Linked DNA regions of Arabidopsis thaliana. The protein of the gene in region 1 interacts with the protein of each later gene in a biochemical or structural test. Each region holds a gene or a part of one and is shown on either strand. Other genes may lie near its edges.

Region 1 (12,384 bases):
TACGAATGTTTAAATTTAATCTCCTTTGAAGTTGATTCTCCCGAGTCCCGATTATAAGAAGAAAACTTGTTAGAAGCGAGGCCACCATTTCTCACCCAAACGATACAAAATTAGGTTAGGTAAGATAACATTTGAGTAGATCTAGTTTTTCCAAGCAAACCAGGTCTAGTTTAATAATCGTAATTTTGAAATACTAAAAGATCGGATTAAATTTGACAAAGTGTATTGCTCCTTTTTATAAATATAGTATATAACTACGATATGTTTTGTTAAGGTTGATGAGACCCTGATAATATGAGTATATGACTACAGTCTAGCTACAAGCCTACAAGTTTCTATATGAAAGAACTAGTACAATAATAACTGATTAACTGTACTGTACGATATTCAAAAGAACTTAATTGTTTTTAATTAGAAGAGGAAGATGAGATTGGCGCACAAAAAAAAAAGAAAAAGAGGAAGAAGATGAGATAGTAATTGGAAGCTTTAAATCCCAATTAAGAGAGGCTACAGCTGTAATCATTCGAAACGTATTTACTTATATGATGTCACCGTAATAAAATTTCTTGTAATAATAACTTTCTCATTTATCTAGTTGGAGTCACAATGTCTACTTGAACCACTGGAATAAACAAAAAAACTTCACTTGAAAAAGTAATAAATTTGATGACAGCTCTTTAACTATACCAAACGGATTCATACTAACTTCAACTTCTTTGATCAATTATTCCAAACCCTAAATTCTAGACCTAAAATCAAACTAAATTTGGTAACACATCAATTTAATACTCTATTAGAAGAAAACTAAACTATAAATATCGATTATGTATTTGATCCTACTATATTATTTGGGAAGTACATTTTAAATGTAACCTTAATTTTTGTAAGTAATTATATAGATATGCCATTAGAAATAAAATTTTAAAGAGTAAATTAATTTATCTCTTTAAGGATTAAAAAGTCAAATACTAATTTAATTAAAAAACAAAATACATTATTATTTTCCACAAATAATAACCAATCAAAATCAACATATAAGATTTGATATCTAAATTTTAATTAATTTAATTTAATTAAAAAACAAAATACATTATTAATTTCCAAAAAAGTAACCAATTAAAATCAACAAATTATATTTGATATCTAAATTATCATATTAATTTTTTATTAATTATTATAGTTCACTTCTCATCTTTATATGATTTTATTTTTGCGGAAAAATAATATCATCATTATAAAAAAAGAATTAGAGTTATTTTGCATATGCCACAATTTGAATTTTTAAAAACGAATATAAACTGTTCAATACATGAAAAAATATTATAACGGGTGAAAAATAGATTTAAGAAAACTTTCTACTGAGTAACGGGTCATAATTTGAAATATTTATATTCAATTTCATACATATTATATTGAAAATTTATAATCTTATATATTACAATAATTAATAACATATTAGATGTGATTCAATTTTTAATAAAAGCTGGAAAATCCTAGAATTGACGGTTTAGATCGATATTAATACAAGATGGAATACTACAAGTGAAACTCTTAAATTAACTATCAAACTACAAGTGTATAATCTTAAACACTAAACAATATAGATAATATCAACAAAACATACACATGAGATCAATTAAATTTTAATCACATAAAAATTAGCACAAAAAAAAGTATTCAACAATTAAATTTTTATCAAATCTCTGTGTTATATAAGTTTTGATACTATATTCGAATAATGTAATATACCTTTTCAATTTGTATTCTTTAACTAATTTAATCTAACTAATATATTTGCTAATCTTATACCTATCAAAACCGACTATCGTTTCTTATCTCTATAGTATTTTTGCAAGACTTTTTTGGTGGATTTGGATAAAAGTGTATTCGGGTCATATGGTACATTCTCCTATTAAATAAATATGGTGCACTCCGATGTTATTAGCTAAAATGTTTAGAATATAATTCAGAGTCATATCATTAATAAAATTAATATTAATAAAATAAATGACTTTTTGGCAAGACGAATTTGGAGGGACGGGTTTTTGAATCAACATTAATAAAAAAGTAAAATATAATTAATCCACCGTTTTAATACGGGTTAAATCTTTAATTAATTATTTTTTAAGACCACTAATATTAAACATATCAAATCATCCTAATTTAGAAAAGATTATATAAAACCAAAAATGTTATGTGGTATGTATAATATTACTATATATAAAATTAAACAATAAAATATAAATGTATTAGAGAATGATACAATGTGCAAAACTTTTATATATAAAAAATAATTCTTAAATTTTAAAAATTACTACTTTAAAAAAAAAATCACGGGACGGGTAAAAAATTTACAGAACGGGTTTTATTTTGGAATTGGGTTATATGGTGGATGTATTTGAATCAATATTTATAAAATTTTAAAATATTATTAATATGCTGTTTAAGTAGGGATTAAAACTTCAGTTTTTTAACAATTATCTCATGAATTCGTGGTATAGTGTTATTTAATAACAATTATAAACTGTAAAATAAAAATATTTTATAAAAATAAAATTTGCAAGTTTTAATATATATTACTTTTAAAAAATAAATCGTCCCGCAGTATATCACATGTTAAAATCTAGTTTATATATCATTTTGATACTTTTTTAAAACAGAGACCGGTGCAGTTTAGTAGTTACGTGGATACCAAATATATCATACAAGTTAATATAGAAATTAAGAATCAGATACGACGTTCCAAACAAATACTTAAACGTGTGTAGACCTTAGGAAACATTGCCAACTGGCAACTTTGTATTATACTACCAAAATCTAGATATCTATAAATCTAGAGGTGTGTATGATAATGAATATTGAATAGTATATGTTTGATATTCAATGTTATACTATTCAGATATCAAATACCTGGATGTATATATGTCAACTGAAAACAAATATAATTCTCTTAGTATGAAGACTATTTACATCTAAATCATATGAATAACTAATTAACTTTTTCTTCTTTTTTTTGTTAATTTTCAAAAACTATGTCATTTGTTATGTATTACATAATCACTTAAGATATATATAAAAAAAAATGCCCTAACGAATTTCGTCCACAACATATGAATCGAGCTAGCTATTTAGATATTTCTATTATGCATATGATGAATCATAGATTGATAAACATATTATATATTTTTTGAAAAATGGTAGTTCAATTTCTTTTGACACTAATTAAACATGAAAGAGACATGTCCTTCGGGTGTAAGAATACCTAAACAGACAAAGCAGAGAGTCATAAATATCTTATGATTATAAATGGAAGAGACATATAAAAAATGTTTATTGTGTACTAATCCCTTATATAGTTTATGTTGGACAACTCCATATTAATTTAGGTTTACTTATATTTCGGTTATGAAACTCTAAAAAGTATTGTCTCCCACTATCCATTAGGACAAACTGGCAAAGGCAACCACCTCAACAACATCAAAGAACAAGAATTATTCAACTGTTCTACAAAACTATACTAGTACTATTACAGTTGTTTGTAGCATATACTTTTCCAAATAGAATTTTATACGATTTTCTTTTCCATATTTTTTGAAAATGACAAGTGATATGATTTGAGAAAAAACAAAAAAAAAAAACAAATTTATACAGTGAGGCCTGCAAGACCATAAAACAAACTAAAGCCGTTCATTAAGGTTCCATTAATTGGGCCTATATTTTTCTCGTTATATTATGAGCCTGTTATAGGCCCATTAGTAATAATTTATCGGGTTATGAAGTAAATTTTCAGATAATTAAGGGTCTCAAGTATAAATATCTTAAATAACAGACCCATCTACCTGGAAATATGAGTATTTGGGCAGAGAGGGGTGTTTTCGTAAATTCAAGTACATACTTTATTTTTATTTTTTTGCTTTCTTCGCCTTTTGCTCCCTCCTCGAGAATTTCCGATCGTGCTTTCCTCAAAAGCATTTCTGTTTCTCGTCGTCGGAGCCCGACGACAGATCTCTGAATCGCTGGAGAAACAGTAAGTAAATCTACAGATCTCGTTTCTTCGAACTTCTTCTTCGTATACTATTTGTTTGTATCGTTCCTTCGTTGTGCATTGATGTTCTTAATGATTACTAGAATCTAAGTCAGAAGTTACCTCTATTTGTTCTTCTTCTATATTTGAACTAGATTTCGTTCTAGCGTCGAACAAACTCCTCGTTTTCTTTGATTCGCATTGCTGGTGATTTTCCTGAATTTCGAGATTTAGCGAGACGTGTCTCGAGTTCTCTTGTGTTGACGGGATTTTTCTTATCTGGAGAACTGATAATAGTTTCATGACACTGTCACTGGTCTGTTGAATTGTAGTTTAAACTTATTCCATCGGATATAGTGACTCTTAACTCTATAAGTTGCTGATTTTGTAGATGGGTTTAGTGTTATCAGGTTTATTGATGTAACAACGAGTTTACAAACTTTGCTATTTAGGGATCTGTAGGAATTCGTTTTTTTGGGGGCTCAAATTGTTGGAAATAGTTGCTTAGCTATTCACAATCTAAATGTGATTTGGGAAATCTGCAACATATGTTATTACTATGGAAGAGGTTACTCTATATAGTTACTAAATTATCAGCATGGTTTCTGACCATTATAGAATTCTTTGCTTGTGGTTTATTTGTTTGAATCAAAGTGGTTTCATTCAGAGACAGCGTTGTAGATTTTGATTATCTCTGTAATGTATGATGTGAAAAGTTACGCCACTTTCTATCTTATTAGCTCTTGAAATGCATCTATTATCTGTTTTAAAATAAGATTTTTTAAATTTAATTTGTTTTTTTTTGCCAGTAATGATTGAGTTTGGCCTCTATCTGTGAAGGGTATATGCTCCGGCTGTATCTACTTTATATTCTGCCAGGAAGATTGTGAGCATTGAAGTGCCTTGGGCTCTGGCTGAAGATTTGAGCAGATTAAATGGGTCGCCTAAAGTTGCATTCTGGAATCAAGGCCATTGAGGAAGAACCTGAGGACTTTGAGTGTACTGATTCAAGTAATACAACCACTTTAGCATGCATGATTGATACGGAAATTGCTGCTGTTTTAGCGGTTATGAGAAGAAATGTAAGATGGGGAGGTCGATACATGTCTGGTGATGATCAACTAGAACACTCGTTGATTCAGTCACTTAAAGCTCTTAGAAAACAGGTGTTCTCATGGAACCAGCCGTGGCATACAATTAGTCCCATGTTGTATCTTCAGCCCTTTCTTGATGTGATACGGTCAGATGAAACTGGAGCACCAATAACCAGCATTGCTTTGTCATCAGTTTACAAGATCTTAAACCTGAATGTAATTGATCAAAATACTGCGAATATTGAAGACGCTATGCACTTGGTAGTTGATTCTGTGACAAGCTGTCGATTTGAGGTGACAGATCCTGCATCAGAAGAGGTTGTGCTAATGAAGATACTTCAGGTTCTTCTAGCATGTATGAAAAATAAAGCATCAGTTATGCTAAGCAATCAGCATGTATGCACTGTCGTCAACACTTGTTTTCGTGTTGTCCACCAAGCAGGAATGAAAGGTGAGTTATTGCAACGAGTAGCTCGCCACACGATGCATGAATTAGTGAGGTGTATCTTCTCGCATCTCCCAGATGTTGAAAGAACAGAAACTACACTTGTCAACAGAGCTGGTAGCATCAAACAAGAGGTATGGTATTGGGGTCCTTGTTATTTCCTTTCTAGTTGGTTACAAGTCAGTTTGGTCCTGTAGGATGTTCTGAGATTAAATAAAAACATGATACTACAGTAGCTAGGTTCCTTTACTTGCAACCTAGAAAATTGAAAAAGCAGAGAAACTATTTAAATAGAAATGATAAAGAGCCATAGATTTGGCGATTTGTTAAATATAGGTCTGCAACTTACTCTTGAACTTCAAAATTATGTAGACGCTTGTTTTCATTCAGATAGGAAAATATATTTTTCCTAGTGCGAGTCAAAGATCACTACTAGAGAATTTAGACCAGAAACTCTGTAGATAGTGAATAATTAATTTCATACGGAATAATTTTCCCAACAAATGCTGGATTTTAAGCCTTCTTCCCTTGATTCATATATCACTAATTATTGTACAATAATTAGTGATGGTGTTTTGCATGGTCGCAGAAAGCTGGAGTAGACAGTGATTATGCCATTGTGAGTAAACCAGTCGAGGATGGAAATGCTAATTCCGAGTATGATGTTGAAAATTCTATGGCAACTTTTGCAACTGGTGCTCAAAGTTTGATGGATGATGGACCAGTTGGCCCTGGAAGCAGAAAGCCGGCTTCTCCATATGATTTGCATATAATGACAGAGCCATACGGAGTCCCAAGTATGGTGGAAATTTTTCACTTCTTGTGCTCTTTGTTAAATGTGGTCGAACATGTTGGTATGGGATCCCGATCAAACACCATAGCATTTGACGAAGATGTGCCTCTGTTTGCGTTGAACTTGATCAACTCAGCCATTGAATTGGGTGGATCGTCCATCCGCCATCACCCAAGATTGTTAAGCCTAATTCAAGATGAGTTATTTCGTAACTTGATGCAGTTCGGATTGTCGATGAGCCCCCTGATTCTTTCGATGGTTTGCAGCATTGTGCTCAATTTGTATCAACATCTACGAACTGAACTCAAGTTGCAGCTTGAGGCATTCTTTTCATGTGTGATTCTAAGGCTTGCTCAAGGAAAATATGGGCCCTCGTATCAGCAGCAAGAGGTTGCTATGGAGGCTCTTGTGAATTTTTGTAGGCAGAAGAGTTTTATGGTTGAAATGTATGCCAATCTCGATTGTGATATAACTTGCAGCAACGTGTTTGAGGAGCTGTCTAATCTTCTCTCGAAGAGCACATTTCCTGTGAACTGTCCTTTGTCTGCAATGCACATTCTTGCTCTGGATGGCCTAATCGCTGTTATTCAGGGAATGGCCGAGAGGATAAGTAATGGATTGACTGGTTTGGATTTGGGTCCTGTCCATCTTGATGAGTACACGCCTTTCTGGATGGTTAAGTGTGACAACTATAGTGATCCAAATCACTGGGTTTCATTTGTCCGCAGGAGAAAATATATCAAGAGAAGGTTAATGATTGGAGCAGATCATTTTAACAGGGATCCAAAGAAGGGGTTAGAGTTTCTCCAAGGCACACATCTTTTGCCTGACAAACTCGATCCCCAAAGTGTTGCTTGCTTTTTTAGATATACTGCTGGGCTTGATAAGAACCTTGTTGGGGATTTTCTTGGAAATCATGACGAATTTTGTGTTCAAGTTCTCAATGAGTTTGCTGGGACTTTCGATTTCCAGTACATGAATCTGGATACTGCACTCCGACTCTTCTTGGAAACCTTCAGGTTGCCTGGAGAATCCCAGAAAATACAGAGAGTGCTTGAGGCGTTCTCTGAAAGATACTATATGCAATCTCCTGAGATTCTGGCCAACAAGGATGCTGCTCTTGTGTTATCATACTCTATTATCATGCTTAACACTGATCAGCACAACGTTCAAGTAAAGAAAAAGATGACAGAAGAGGATTTCATTCGCAATAATAGGCATATCAATGGAGGAAATGATCTACCTCGAGAATTCTTGTCTGAACTCTTTCACTCCATCTGCAACAATGAGATCAGGACTACTCCAGAACAAGGTGCAGGCTTTCCTGAAATGACTCCCAGCCGTTGGATTGATTTGATGCATAAATCAAAGAAAACTGCTCCATATATTCTGGCTGATTCAAGGGCTTATCTTGACCATGATATGTTTGCTATCATGTCTGGTCCAACCATTGCTGCCATATCAGTCGTTTTTGACCATGCAGAACATGAAGACGTTTACCAGACATGCATCGATGGATTCTTGGCTATAGCTAAAATTTCTGCCTGTCATCATCTTGAAGATGTGCTTGATGATCTGGTTGTCTCTCTCTGCAAATTCACAACTCTGTTGAATCCATCATCTGTTGATGAACCCGTTCTTGCATTTGGTGATGACGCAAAAGCAAGGATGGCTACTATCACAATTTTTACCATTGCAAACAAATATGGAGATTATATACGTACGGGTTGGAGGAACATATTGGACTGTATCTTACGGCTACATAAACTTGGACTTCTGCCAGCTCGTGTAGCCAGTGATGCAGCTGATGAATCAGAACATTCATCTGAGCAAGGGCAAGGAAAGCCCCTCGCGAATTCCCTATCTTCAGCTCATCTACAGTCAATGGGAACTCCGAGGAGATCTTCCGGATTGATGGGAAGATTTAGTCAGCTTCTTTCACTTGATACAGAAGAGCCAAGATCACAGCCTACTGAGCAACAGCTTGCAGCTCATCAACGAACACTTCAAACAATTCAGAAATGTCACATTGACAGCATATTTACCGAAAGCAAGTTTCTACAAGCTGAATCTTTGTTGCAGCTTGCGCGTGCTCTCATTTGGGCTGCAGGTAGGCCACAGAAAGGAACCAGTTCTCCAGAGGATGAGGATACTGCGGTTTTCTGTCTGGAATTGCTTATTGCAATCACTCTAAACAACAGAGACAGGATCGTTCTCCTATGGCAAGGCGTCTATGAACATATAGCTACAATTGCTCAGTCAACGGTGATGCCCTGCAACTTAGTGGATAAAGCTATTTTTGGTCTACTTCGGATCTGCCAGAGACTACTTCCTTATAAAGAAAGCCTAGCTGATGAGCTTTTGAGATCTCTTCAGCTTGTGCTGAAACTGGATGCACGTGTTGCAGATGCCTATTGTGAGCAAATTGCAATTGAAGTCAGCCGTCTTGTGAAAGCCAATGCTAATCACATCAGGTCTCAGGCGGGTTGGAGAACAATCACATCCTTACTCTCCATCACAGCGCGGCACCCAGAAGCTTCTGAATCAGGATTTGATGCCGTATCCTTTGTTATGTCTGAAGGAACTCACCTGTATCCAGCCAATTATGTACTCTGTGTTGATGCTGCAAGACAGTTTGCTGAATCCCGCGTGGGACAGTCCGAACGCTCTATCCGTGCCCTTGATCTAATGGGAGATTCATTAGAATTTTTGGCTAAATGGGCTCTCTCAGCTAAGGAAAACATGGGAGAAGAAGATTTCGGGAAGATGTCACAAGATATTGGGGAAATGTGGTTAAGGCTTGTTCAAGGACTAAGAAAAGTGTGTTTAGACCAGAGGGAGGATGTCCGAAACCACGCTTTACAGTCATTACAGAAGTGTTTAGGCGGAGTAGACGGAATCAACCTAGCTCATAGCATGTGGTCTCAATGCTTTGACAAAGTAATCTTCACGGTTTTGGATGACTTACTTGAGATAGCTGCTGGGTCACAGAAAGACTACCGAAACATGGAAGGCACATTGCTTCTCGCAATCAAACTTCTCTCCAAAGTGTTTCTTCAGCAACTCCAAGAGCTATCTCAGTTATCAACCTTCTGCAAGCTATGGCTCGGTGTTCTAACTCGAATGGAGAAATACATGAAAGTGAAAGTAAGAGGCAAAAAAAGCGACAAGCTACAAGAATCAGTACCAGAGCTTCTCAAAAACATATTGCTGGTGATGAAGACGAAAGGCGTGCTATTGCAAAGAAGTGCTCTTGGTGGAGATAGCTTATGGGAGCTAACATGGCTTCATGTGAATAACATTGCACCGTCTATGCGACTGGAGCTATTCCCTGATCAAGAATCCTCACAACTTGGTGATGATGAAACCGTATCGAATGGCTTATCTTCTCCTGAAAACACAACTGGTTCGTGACCTTACAAGTGAGATCATTAGGTGAGTTTCTTTCGAATATCCATATAAGTACTGTGAAAGTGAAAGCTTCTTATGTAACACCTCTCTACGTTTTTTTTTGTAATATATAAGTCTTTCTAATTCAGAGACTCGTATTAATTAAGCAAGTTTCTTAATTACGACTTTGTTAATCACGGACCTTTGGAACGAGGTAGAAGGTCTTGAACATGTGTGGAACCCACCAAAGGAAAAATATCAGTAGATTCAGGAGAGTTGTTAAATTTTGCCTCCACGAGTTTTTTTCTTTTCTTCTTGTTGAGTCGTTTACGTCACGTCGAGAATTTTCTCTTTTCCCGAGAAAATTAAGAAAGGATCGTTTGATTTTCTAAGAAGGGAAAGATAAACAGTGAATTAGAAAGAGAAGGAAGTTTCAATGGAATCGCTAACATCTATTTCTCCTTCCATAATTCTTCCTCCGGCCACCACTACTACGATCCCCGTTTCAACTTCACGATCAGTGTTGATTCGTCTTCCTTCACGCCGTTCTTCTTACCTTTTCGGCTTGTCCAGCTCCGGGAGACGGATTTCGATTTCTAGAAGAAGACACTTCGTTAGCTGTAAATCGACCGGCGGCGGAGGAGGAGGATCAGATAAGCTTGGTGGCGATGAAGAAGAGAGCGAGGAAGTTGAGAAGGCGCTTCACTTGGATGGTACGATCCCTGGGACTTCCGATGAGTTTGTAAGGCAAGTTTCGTCGCGTGCTTACGACATGCGTCGGAAACTTGAGCAGACGTTTGATTCCACTAGCTATGACGGTATAATCTCTATCGCTCTCAATTCCTGCGTTTACTTTGATTTTGGTGATGCAAAATTAATACTTTCGTTGATGCAACTAACTTGATCAGAGTTTCTTAAAGATTGTCTAGGAAGTTTGGGAACTGTAGTAGTTTGAAATTCCCTTAGTGCCTTGTTTTTGTTAACAGGAGTCAAATCGTTTTGTTGAACAATGTCAGAATTTAGTCACTGTGTCACACACAACCGGTGAAGAAGCTCTCCATTGATAGATGTAGTGTTAGTTATGATTCAAAAGTTTGTGTTCTGCATACCATTTCTTTAGTTCCCCAGGAGAAGAGTGCTTCAGCTGAACTATGATGAGGAAAATTGTTCATTTCTAGATTCCACTCTTACAGTAAGATTGCAAGCACGGTTTTATCATCTCATCTTTCACATAGTGCTGATGCATAGGAATATCAAAGCAATAGGAACATAAGTGTTTTATTCAATTTAAGCTTGTATTCATCTAAAGTTAATAAATTGATGTTGTTCCTTTAGTGCTCTGTATCTTTGACTGAGTGATTTCGTTGAGAACCATTTCTCTCACTGTGGCTTCTCACAATCTTAGTGTTGGAGTCCAACCCATGGAGAGGAGATTCGAAGCCTGTATATGTATTAACACATAGAGAAAACCAGATATGTACCATGAAAACAAGAACAAACCACAGGTTCCAACTCTATTCCACTCAAGTTTTTTTTTATAGTTTTAGTTTTCTTCTCCCTATGACATTAGCAATCCTTATAAACAGTGAAGTAGAAAAAGAGCTTGGACTGTTGTTCCCTAGTAGGATCAGCAACCAGACAAAGCAGGCTAGACCCAAAACTAAATTCGATATGCTCGTAGAAGACATTCGAGATGGAGTACTGGTAAGTATTCTCACTGAATCACTTTCAAGACCTTATGAAACCCAGACAACGTGATATGCCTAGTTTTTATCTCAAAGGTTTTCGAAGATGTGAATGAGGCTGTTAGATACTGTGACCTATTACAAGGGGGAGGGAAAGGGTGTGAAGGTGTCGCTGAGATTGAGGCCTCCTCTGTAAGATTATGAGACAAAGATATCATCTAATTCTAGAACTTGTTGCCTTTAAACATTTGAAATGATCTGCTTTTTTTTTTTTGAATAGGTTTTTGATCTTTGTCGGAAAACAAGGTCTCTGGCAGTGCTCTTCCGCCGTGGAAGAACACCACCTACACCTCAGACGCTGGAACGTAATCTCGGATCCCGGAAGCGTTCTCTTGAGGACTTGAGGGATAATAAATAGCTTGTGAAACAATGTATTAATTTTACTTGCAATAATTGAAAATACTTTGTATAGACTAAACAGTAATTAACCGTGGGTGATACTGTGTATATATATAAAATGCATTTTACTTGTGCTCCATAACTTTTTTTTGTTCCTTATAATTCTCTTGAAGTTGCGCTCTTTTCTTTGAAGGCTTTAAAGCTAACACTAGTAGGTAATGTATTACTTGGTCAATCAACATGTGAGTATTTATAGTATCTATGATTAGTTGACAAAAAAGACCATTGTATATTGAACTTCTTAACATGAAAAATAGTGACTTTTTTTTGTTTAGATAAAAATAGATATGCTAAAGGCATATGCTAGTGTATTATTAATAAAAATCATGTGATAGATGTGATTCCATGTTATCCGGATCGTTGACTTGACTTAGTACCCATAACGTTTATTATATAATTCATATAGCATTTTATGATTGTCAAATTTATATTTATACATATGATAGACTATTATGTCAAAAAGACAGGTAAAGCCACTTTGTTTACTTATTCTT
Region 2 (10,331 bases), on another chromosome or scaffold:
AAGCGGTGCGGGAAAAACTACGTTGATGGATGTTCTTGCGGGTCGAAAGACAGGTGGATATACCGAGGGAGATATTAGAATCTCTGGTCACCCAAAAGAACAACAAACGTTTGCTAGGATCTCTGGATATGTTGAGCAGAACGATATACACTCTCCTCAAGTCACAGTTGAAGAGTCCTTATGGTTTTCGGCTAGCCTTCGTCTTCCTAAGGAGATCACCAAAGAACAGAAAAAGGTCAGTATGAATGAGTTTTACCTCATTTGGTTCCGAATATGGATTGTTTCACTAACATATATTTTCTTGTTTTGTTAGGAATTTGTGGAACAAGTCATGAGACTTGTAGAGCTTGACACTCTGAGATATGCTTTAGTAGGTTTACCTGGTACCACGGGTCTTTCTACTGAGCAGAGGAAACGTCTAACAATTGCGGTTGAGTTAGTAGCAAATCCATCAATTATTTTCATGGATGAACCAACATCTGGACTTGATGCAAGAGCAGCAGCAATTGTGATGAGAACTGTTAGAAACACTGTTGATACTGGAAGAACAGTGGTTTGCACCATTCATCAACCTAGCATTGACATTTTTGAGGCCTTTGACGAGGTTTGACCTAATTTTGCTTGGATTACAAGAATAGTTATGAATTGTTATCAGTCGATGATCTTAATAACGTCTGTACCTTTTTTTTTTTGCTTAACCTTAAAAATACAGCTGCTTCTAATGAAACGAGGAGGACAGGTTATATATGGTGGGAAATTGGGTACACACTCGCAGGTTCTGGTAGATTACTTTCAGGTACTTACTTGTCCCTGCCTTTTCCTATTCTGTTTTGATCTTCGCACTTACATACTTGTGCACCACGTTAAATATGACAAACCCTAAACCCTCTACAGGGGATTAACGGAGTACCTCCAATCTCAAGTGGTTACAATCCAGCAACTTGGATGCTTGAAGTAACTACACCTGCTTTGGAAGAGAAATATAACATGGAGTTTGCAGATTTATACAAGAAATCTGACCAGTTTAGGTAACTATCACAATCCTTAAAGCTACATTTTCAAAAACATAAATCAAACCATATACTGTGTATTTTAAACAGAGAAGTAGAGGCAAACATCAAGCAACTCAGTGTTCCACCAGAAGGCTCAGAACCAATAAGCTTTACATCAAGATACTCACAAAACCAACTATCTCAATTTCTACTCTGTCTCTGGAAACAGAACCTTGTCTACTGGAGAAGTCCAGAATACAATCTCGTGAGATTAGTCTTCACAACGATCGCTGCGTTTATACTGGGAACAGTTTTCTGGGACATTGGTTCCAAGAGGACTTCCTCACAGGATTTGATCACCGTAATGGGAGCTCTCTACTCGGCTTGTCTGTTTCTTGGAGTTAGTAACGCTTCATCAGTACAACCAATCGTTTCAATCGAAAGAACAGTTTTCTACAGAGAGAAAGCCGCTGGTATGTATGCTCCAATTCCATATGCAGCAGCTCAGGGTCTTGTGGAGATACCTTACATTCTGACCCAAACCATTCTCTACGGTGTCATCACATACTTCACCATTGGCTTTGAAAGAACGTTCAGTAAGTTTGTACTGTATTTGGTGTTCATGTTCCTCACATTCACCTACTTCACCTTCTATGGCATGATGGCGGTTGGTCTCACCCCGAATCAGCATTTAGCCGCTGTGATCTCCTCTGCGTTTTACTCTCTCTGGAATCTCCTATCCGGTTTCCTCGTCCAAAAGCCTGTAAGTATTTAATATCACTCTATGAGAGGTAGCTAATATAGTTATGCATTCGAACAATCGAGAACTAAGTATTGATGGATTATTGTTACTAAATTTGATTCTTGACTAATCAGCCTTACCACATTTTGAACCCTTATAATCTTTAACCCTTTGTGTTTGTTTTGGTAATTCAGTTGATTCCAGTGTGGTGGATATGGTTCTATTACATATGTCCAGTGGCGTGGACACTACAAGGAGTAATCCTTTCGCAGCTTGGTGACGTGGAAAGCATGATCAACGAGCCATTGTTTCATGGCACGGTGAAGGAGTTTATTGAATATTACTTCGGCTACAAGCCAAACATGATTGGTGTATCTGCTGCTGTTCTTGTCGGTTTTTGTGCTCTCTTCTTCTCAGCATTTGCACTTTCAGTCAAATACCTCAACTTCCAGAGAAGATAAAAAAAGTCCTGTGGGACTAACTTTGATATTTTTGGCCTTTTTCACTGGTGTTCCGTTTTAAGAGTAGTTATGATTCTTTTTAAAGTTAGTTTTTGTGGACATTGACGAAAAAAACAAACCTAAAATATAAGATTCTGTTTTGCTCTAATTAGGGTTTTATAGTTTTGTACACTGGATGTGTGGTTGATTCTGTTTTTTCCGTGTTTAGGGTTTATAGATCAATTGCTGTCGTTCGATATTGTTGGGGTTTTTTGTTCGTAACCTTTCTTTCATAAAGATTAATTTCTCATGTAAAATAAAATAATGTTTTGTGGTTTAATTGGTTGTGTATTTTGGAACAGTTTTTGTGGATGTACCAAAGTGAACACACTCTCCTAAACGACGACCTAACACCGATTCACGCAAATCAAATGAGAGAAAAAAACTCTCTGATAAGTAAAAAATAAAATGTTACCTAAAATCTTTCTTCAACTAACCCATTTTGTTCCTTGAATATATATAAAGAGAGACCCATCGAAGATCTCTTCACACACACACACTCCATGGAAACACTTTTTCTTGTTTCACTTATGCATTTTCATTTTAGTTTTCGGCTAGGCTTCGTCTTCCTAAAGAGATCAGAAAAGAACAGAAAAAGGTCAGTATGAATAAGTTTGACCTCAAGAGAGCAAACCAAGAAAATATATCTTTAATGAAACTTATACATATCGAAACCAAATGAGGTCAAACTTATTTTTTTATTTTCTTTTTCTTTTTTTTTTGTTGCCCAAAAAAAATAAATATAAGTTTGACCTCATTTGGTTTCGATATGTATAAGTTTCACTAAAGATATATTTTCTTGTTTTGTTAAGAATTTGTGGAAGAAGTGATGAGACTCGAGCTCGTAGAACTTGATACTTTGAGATATGCATTGGTATAACAGTTGCGGTTGAGTTAGTAGCAAATCCATCAATAATTTTAATGTTTATAGTTTTGTACACTGAATATTGATTTTGTTTTGCTCTCTTTAGGGTTATAGTTCAATTGCTGTCGTTTGATATTGTTAGATTTTTGTTCGTAATCTTTGTTTCATAAAGACTAATTTCTCATATAAAATAAAAATAATGTAATAATTTCTAAATAACCTTCCAACGACGTCTTCTTTCAACACCCATTGGTCCATCACGCAACCCCGTCACCGTCATCTTCTTGACCCGACCAACCGCTTTCCGGGTCGGTTTCTTCCACGTGTCACCCCAATTCATCTCTCTTCCTCCCAAAGATATCTTTAGAAACAAACAATTCCAATCGCGTCGTCAACAATGAATGAATAATTTTGATGTATTTGTAAAATAATGGAAGCATCGAGAAATCGATCGCTCGTCGGAAACAACCGATCTCCGGAGATGAACGAAAACGACGGCGAAGATGTTGCGGCTTCGGCAGCGGTGGAAGACGTGGAGGTGTGGGATACGTTGAGTAATGGATTCAAACGTGCACAGCTTTATCTTGATCAGAATCGTGATTTGATTCAACGCGTCAACGAAAACCACATGTCTCGAATCCCAGATAACGTCTCTAGAAACGTTGGCTTGATCAACGAAATCAACGGTAATATCTCTCAAGTTATGGAGATTTACTCTGATTTATCTCTCAATTTCGCCAAAAAATTCGATCAGCGGCGGAGGACGACCAAGGACGGCGACACCACAACTACCACCACCGGTTCTTAAGCGCGATTAGGAGTGTCATGGAGTTTGTATATGATTACAAGGATTAGGATATTTGCACTAGTCTATTACGTGTTCTCTAAGGTATTTTATGCTTCTGTATTCAGCTCCTCTGTTTTTGTTTTGATTCTGCATGATCTCATTCACTAGTTTCATGATTTTTTTGATACTACATTTTCTAAAAGCTTTTATGGATTGAAATAGCTTTTAGATGGCTCTGGTCAGTTCTATAGCTAAGTATTGAATATAGATCATGATGAATTGATGATCCATTCCATCATAATGAGCAATGAGTGGGTAAGAGTCTTAGATGAGCCCCACTAGGTTCCTCACACATCATAAATAGTTTACTGCAATAGGTCTCCATGGGCACAAGGCGTTGTTAGGCCAGTACCGGATGTCATGAACCCTATAATGCTTCCACCGATCACCGGATGCCGTGAAACCTACTGCTTTGACCGCAAAGGTTACGTGATAGATACATCAAAACAATGTTCCATGGCATGGTGAAGGAATTCATTGAAAATTAACTTGGGCTACAAGCCAATTGCAGTTTCAGTCAAATTCCTAAATTTCTAGAGAAGATGGAAGCATATGTTATCACTGGTTTTCACTGGTTTTCACTGGTTCTATTTGATATTTTTGGCCAATTTACTGGTTTTCCGTTTTACTAGTAATTAGATTATCTTCTATATTACCACAGAGATTTCGTGTCACCATGACCAAGACGTGCTTGCTGCAATTTACTGGTTTTCCGTTTTACTAGTAATTAGATTAGCTTCTTCATCTACAGAGCAAAGCAGCATGGGATGAAGATATTCGTGCTGATACAGCAGCTACTCCATAGAGTTTCCATGGCGTATCTAAAAACAGGAAAGGCCGAGTACTATTTTCATGGAAAAGTCTGTTACGCAAGAAAACGAAATTTCAGAGTCCAGTGACACCATTCTGTTCTTGTAGCATTTGGGACGTGTTTAGATTACAACTAACTCGTAAGAGTAACTTTAAAATGCTATTCTTAGAGAGGAAGTTCTCCACTGTCTGCAATTACGACTTTGCTCTTAGGAGTTCCGCTTTGTTTGCCCTCAGCTTCAATCTTATAAACTACATCCATTCCTTGCACCACTTTCCCAAACACCACATGCCTTCCATCTAACCAGCTTGTTGTCACCGTTGTGATAAAAAACTGCGAACCATTTGTGTCTTCTCCCGAGTTCGCCATTGAAAGTACACCTGTATCCAATCACATTGTCAACCATCAGACATTTCTAAATACTTGCCAAAACTTTGCTTCAAGGAAAATAATGATCACCAACCTGGTCCAGTGTGCTTCAGCTTGAAGTTCTCATCAGCAAACTTCTGACCATAGATTGATTCTCCACCCATACCGTTCCCATGCGTGAAGTCACCTCCCTGGATCATAAAGCTGGGAATGATTCGATGGAACTTGCTTCCCTTGTAGTGTAGAGGTTTCCCACTCTTCCCTACACCTTTCTCCCCTGCCAAATTTAAACATTGTAACACAAACCGGTTCCGAAAAGATTAAATAAAATGCATCTTATCTCCATTATAACTCCGTAATAATTTCATTAGATCTCGAAACAAATGTTAATGAAAACAAATACTAGCACTCTCATTGTCCGGCTTGTAATATTGTTTCGAGATTGTGCATAATGTAAAGTTTATATAGTGAAACTATAAGAATATAGTTAGTAGATTACCTGTGCACAAAGCTCTGAAGTTTTCTGCAAAGAAGCAAACACACTCACGAATTACTCTCTTAGATATAAAGCACACACTAAAATAGTCCAGAACCATGATCAAAAACTTCAAAAACCATATAATTGTACCTGCAGTTTTAGGAACTGCCTTGCCAAATAGTCCTATAACAACGCGACCTGCGACATAATCATAACCAGAGAATCAATCAAACATCAAAACAAACCAAGAATCATCAGCTGTATCTGAGCAACAATCCATTTTAACAAATCTGTAAGCTTAATGAACAAACATTTTGACTAAAATCATCGAATCATACCAGCGGATTTGCCGTCGATCTCTACATCGAAGTAAACCTTGTGAGTAACCTCCTTGAGATCTTCTTTTGCCTGAATTTTAACAAACAGAGATTTGAACTCTCTCATAATAGTCACATAGTTCTTAATTCCTGAAGTATAACACTAGAAGCTTAAGCAATCTGGTGACTTCCATTAGAATGTTGATGTAGATCTAATGTATCGTTTGTGGTAACGAAACATTTGAACAGATATAGATTCGAGAGGATATGAATGAAGTTACCTGAATTGAAGCTATGGCTCCGAAGAGGAAGAGAGTTCCGAGTAGAATAAAGCTTGCTTTCGCCATCTTCGTGATCGTTTTTTTTTTTCTCAAATCGAAAAGTGAAAACAGAGTAGTAGTTGAAGAAAGGAAATGTTTATGTTTGACGATCCAATGCTAACATACGCTGGAGTTGTTATTGGACTTCTTAGTGGGCTTTTTAAATTTAATGTGGACCCTTTTATCCAGAACAACTTGTATCATTTTTACAGTATTGGTTTTATGGTGAGAAAATATCAAAATCATAATGCTTTCTTTATACAATTTATTCAGGTAATTCCTCAATTTCATCATCATGAAATTGAAATTTTTTGACGAAACCTTTTTTTTTCTTGTGGCAACAAAAGAAGGTCAGAGAAGACTAGTCTTTTGTTATAATGGGTGTACTGTGAATCCGTGAGAGAATAACTCTTAATTTCTTACTGACCATTATAGCTCAGAGGTAAATGTTTTCAACATAGGTTCATTCACTTTTTTCCTAGCTGTGTTTAATATTCCATACATATCAGTATGCATTAGTAGCAAAAAATACTGCTAATTTCAAAGATTAAAATATTTTCACTCATTTGAAAATTTAAAATATTTTCTATATTTCTCCAAAAAAAAGAGGGGTTTTTTTATAACAAGTATGTAAGCCGTTTTTACTGGATTTTTTATAACTGAGTCGAATATCTAACTAACTGAATTTTCTAATGGATCGTGATACCATTTCGACTGACTAAATGGAATGATTTTGATAATTTTGTGTTTGAGAGGAGTTGATCACTAGTCTCCAGCGACAATTCTTCTCAAATGAAAATACAAAACTACTAGACCAATGACCATTTGTTGTAAACCATTTGTTTTTGTAAACCATTTGTTGTAAAAGCCAAGTGTTGTTGTAAACCATTTGTCTTTACAACCACTTTGTTAAAACTATAACCGTATGTTTATTTAGACCAAGTGTTTCATGCAACTATTCGTTTTATCCATCGGTATGATAAATAAACGATAAGGATATTCACGTCGAAAACCATTTCTAAATATGCTTCTAATCAAAGCCGAAAGCTTAATAATATCAGTTGTTTTTAGAGGAATGTGTTAATATCGGGTTTTGACTCGTTAGGAAAAACATACAAAAAAGTAGGTCACCATAATTGACCAGTTACCACAAACATTGTCGTGGTGGTGTCACGAAGACGACAACGACATCACCCAAAAGTTCCACCTCTCTCTAGTCTCTACTAAACATAATCATCGTTGCGTCATTTTATTTTCCATATTAATTCTAAATCACTAAGTACTTGACGCATGTCAGGACAATATGTTCTTGGAATATATATATACAAAATTCTAACATAATTACATGTTGATCCACATACTTTTGAAACATTCACTTTTCATCCGTAATCGCTGGAGCCTTCACACTCAAGTATTCATTAAAAAAAGTCATTAGATTTCAATATAAAACAGGCTACTTTTAGAAAGATAAAACATCTGCGTTATCTTTTGACAATTGACACAAAGGGTTTGCAATCCTTATAAAGACAACTAGTTTTCACATTTTGTGTCTTTTCTTGTAAGTTCAACATTCACATGATATGTTAACCTCAGAAGGATATATGCAGTCACAAATTCACCATAGAAAATATCTCTACTAGTTTGAAGCTATAAACTTAATATTTTGAGATGAATTCTGCATAAATTGCAATAGATTAACATCATGCAATATGAATGGCTCAAACGTTAAATATATTCATAATTATGTAAACACATAAAATCATGTCATTTATTTTGAATTTACAGTAATCGGGTTGAGTTTTACATACAACTGATCGTTATAATATTGCATGGTAATCGGTTTTAATCGGTTTAAACAAGATTAAACCATAATGAACCAAAATATCTTAAGAGTTTCAAAATAACTGGCTAGATAAATTATGAATTATAGTGCTCGTTAATAGATTCTAGCACATTTGCGTATCCAAAGAGATGAAACTAATAGATTCTACTTTCTTTTTATTAATCAGTGGATGGTGGAAAAGTATATAAAGGATTGACTGAAACGAAAATAAGATGCCTTCAAGAAAAGAATAATAGAGAAAAGTAAGGGTCAAATCGAATACCTTTTAAATTAGATTCGACTACTGCTGTCTTGTCGAGTCATCTGTGGTGTCGAGAGTTTGAGTCTGAATACACATTTCTCTTCCATCGATCAAGTAGCAATCCTCTATGCTACGTCTCATCTTTGATCCACATGTCTGTTGGCAAAAGAAAAAATCTTCGTGTCTTAATTCTATTCGCAATCACATGTCCAATGTCGAAAATCTCTCACTTTTTTTTTGTTAAAGAAATCTCTCACTTTTGCTTATTGCTATAGATGATCGTACACCTAGCTCACATTCCTTAAGTTATCAATCTAAACTGTCGTAACATTGTTGTAACTTGTGTTTTTTCGAAAACTTTTCGACGTTCAAGTCAGAAAATGCCTAAAATAATATAGAAAAGTAGTCTGTGTGGATGAAAAGTTACACCAGTACACAAAATCTTTGTCAATGTTCTTGACCAAAATTTATGTCGAAACGTGACTGTTGAAAACTTGAAAATATTTCTGATCTCTTCTTTCCGGATTAACTATATATACCCTTTGTAGGTTCTCCCAAACCAAAAGGTCTAATGCCTTTTTAACCAGAAGCATGTATTCTCAACTACACATTTATATGTCAACAACATGCATTCTCAAATTAAAACCAAGTAGTGATTATCAACGATTATTAGTACCAACTAATTTTAGATTGCATGTCTTAATCCTAAGAACTACACTTTTAAACAATAAATTTGGCATATACTATATTATTTCAAGATGATACAAAAAAGGATTATTTATTGTGTTGTACTAAAAGTATCAATGAATGATCATTTATTGCGGTCATACCGTTCTTAGTTTTTCCAAGCATAGTCATTATACCATACCTACTACACTCTCACAATAAGACATGATATAGATGAGAAGCTATTTTCACGTACAGTGTGCGATGTTGAGACTATTATATATTGATATTTCATTGTTAAAAACAGAATTATAATGAATACTAAACTTTGTTTTTGAACTGATGAATACTATTTTATTTATGTGACAGTTTGGATTTGTTGAGAGTATGATTCTAATGAATTTGATAATTAGTATCCTCTTACTGCAATAGTAAGAGGTATCCTTTTTTTTGTCGCAAAGGTAGATTACTTGTTATATTAGATATTAGCACAATTACAACTGACTTGCAGAAAGTCAGACCAAAAAATGAGATCAAGGGGCACAAGAAACACCCACTAAAAGGTCAACCCTGAGAATCCAAAAATTAACAGGGCAACAAAAGAATAAGCCTCCCAAAAAGCAAGGAGCCTAAAAGCAAAAAGACTTCAGTCCACAGAGGTTAGAACTCTCTCATCCCTAAAGACACCAAGAAGCCAAGCAGGAAAACTTACGGCCACGTACGATTGAAGCCTACACTCCTTAGTAACACTTTGGGCAATGAGATTAGCACCTCTATTCGAAGACACCGATTCAAGCACCACTTTCCAAACTGCAATGCCATTTAAAGCTAACAAGATCTCCGAAGACTGAAACCTAAAAGAAGGCCAAGCTTGCGGCCTGTTTAACACCCCAACAAGCACCGCAGCTTCCACACCAAAAACCACCCTATTCACATGATGACTAACCATACTCTCAACAGCCCAAACAATGCTTAGAAATTGAGCCTCCAAAAAGGAGGAAATATTGGAGAAGGCTCTTCTACTGTGCATCAAGACATTGCCTCTGTCATTCCTCAACACCCAAGCAACCCCTGCAAGTCTAGTAAGAGGTATCCTATTTTGTACAAAAAAACTATTATGATTTTGAATTACCAATCGAATTAAATTTAAATCATACAAGCGATCAAATTAATATTTGAATCAAAATTTACTAATTTATAAATTAGCTGAAACCAAAAATATAATTAAATTGAAAAGCAGCCGGTAGTCCAATGATCAATGTTTGTTTGTCTTTAATTGGCCTGAAAATAATAAAACTATTTTATGGTAATAATGATTGGTCATTGAGTAAATTTCCTTT

The links.
Region 2: the proteins of GN (region 1) and CYP5 form a complex in vitro, tested with the Arabidopsis thaliana proteins (one study listed by BioGRID).

Annotation. Positions count from the first base shown.
Region 1 is NC_003070.9:4,784,628-4,797,011, forward strand, and holds GN (sec7 domain-containing protein), read left to right. Parts: upstream 1-3,922; 5' UTR 3,923-4,027; intron 4,028-4,833; 5' UTR 4,834-4,959; coding exon 4,960-5,697; intron 5,698-6,152; coding exon 6,153-9,770; 3' UTR 9,771-10,027; downstream 10,028-12,384. Other genes in the region: AT1G13990 (plant/protein), read left to right, coding at 10,183-10,564, 10,655-10,692, 10,867-10,938, 11,152-11,189, 11,288-11,450, 11,528-11,623, 11,712-11,849. UniProt on the Arabidopsis thaliana protein: Activates the ARF proteins by exchanging bound GDP for free GTP. Plays a role in vesicular protein sorting. Acts as the major regulator of endosomal vesicle trafficking but is also involved in the endocytosis process.
Region 2 is NC_003071.7:12,764,261-12,774,591, forward strand, and holds CYP5 (cyclophilin 5), read right to left. Parts: upstream 6,350-10,331; 5' UTR 6,269-6,349; coding exon 6,203-6,268; intron 6,013-6,202; coding exon 5,943-6,012; intron 5,803-5,942; coding exon 5,755-5,802; intron 5,650-5,754; coding exon 5,626-5,649; intron 5,404-5,625; coding exon 5,221-5,403; intron 5,138-5,220; coding exon 4,923-5,137; 3' UTR 4,696-4,922; exon of another isoform or gene 4,592-4,695; intron 4,354-4,591; 3' UTR 4,351-4,353; intron 4,178-4,350; exon of another isoform or gene 3,984-4,177; 3' UTR 3,908-3,983; coding exon of another isoform or gene 3,530-3,907; 3' UTR 3,350-3,529; downstream 1-3,349. Other genes in the region: ABCG31 (pleiotropic drug resistance 3), read left to right, coding at 1-235, 314-604, 713-796, 895-1,028, 1,101-1,755, 1,929-2,195; ELF4-L1 (ELF4-like 1), read left to right, coding at 3,530-3,907. UniProt on the Arabidopsis thaliana protein: PPIases accelerate the folding of proteins. It catalyzes the cis-trans isomerization of proline imidic peptide bonds in oligopeptides.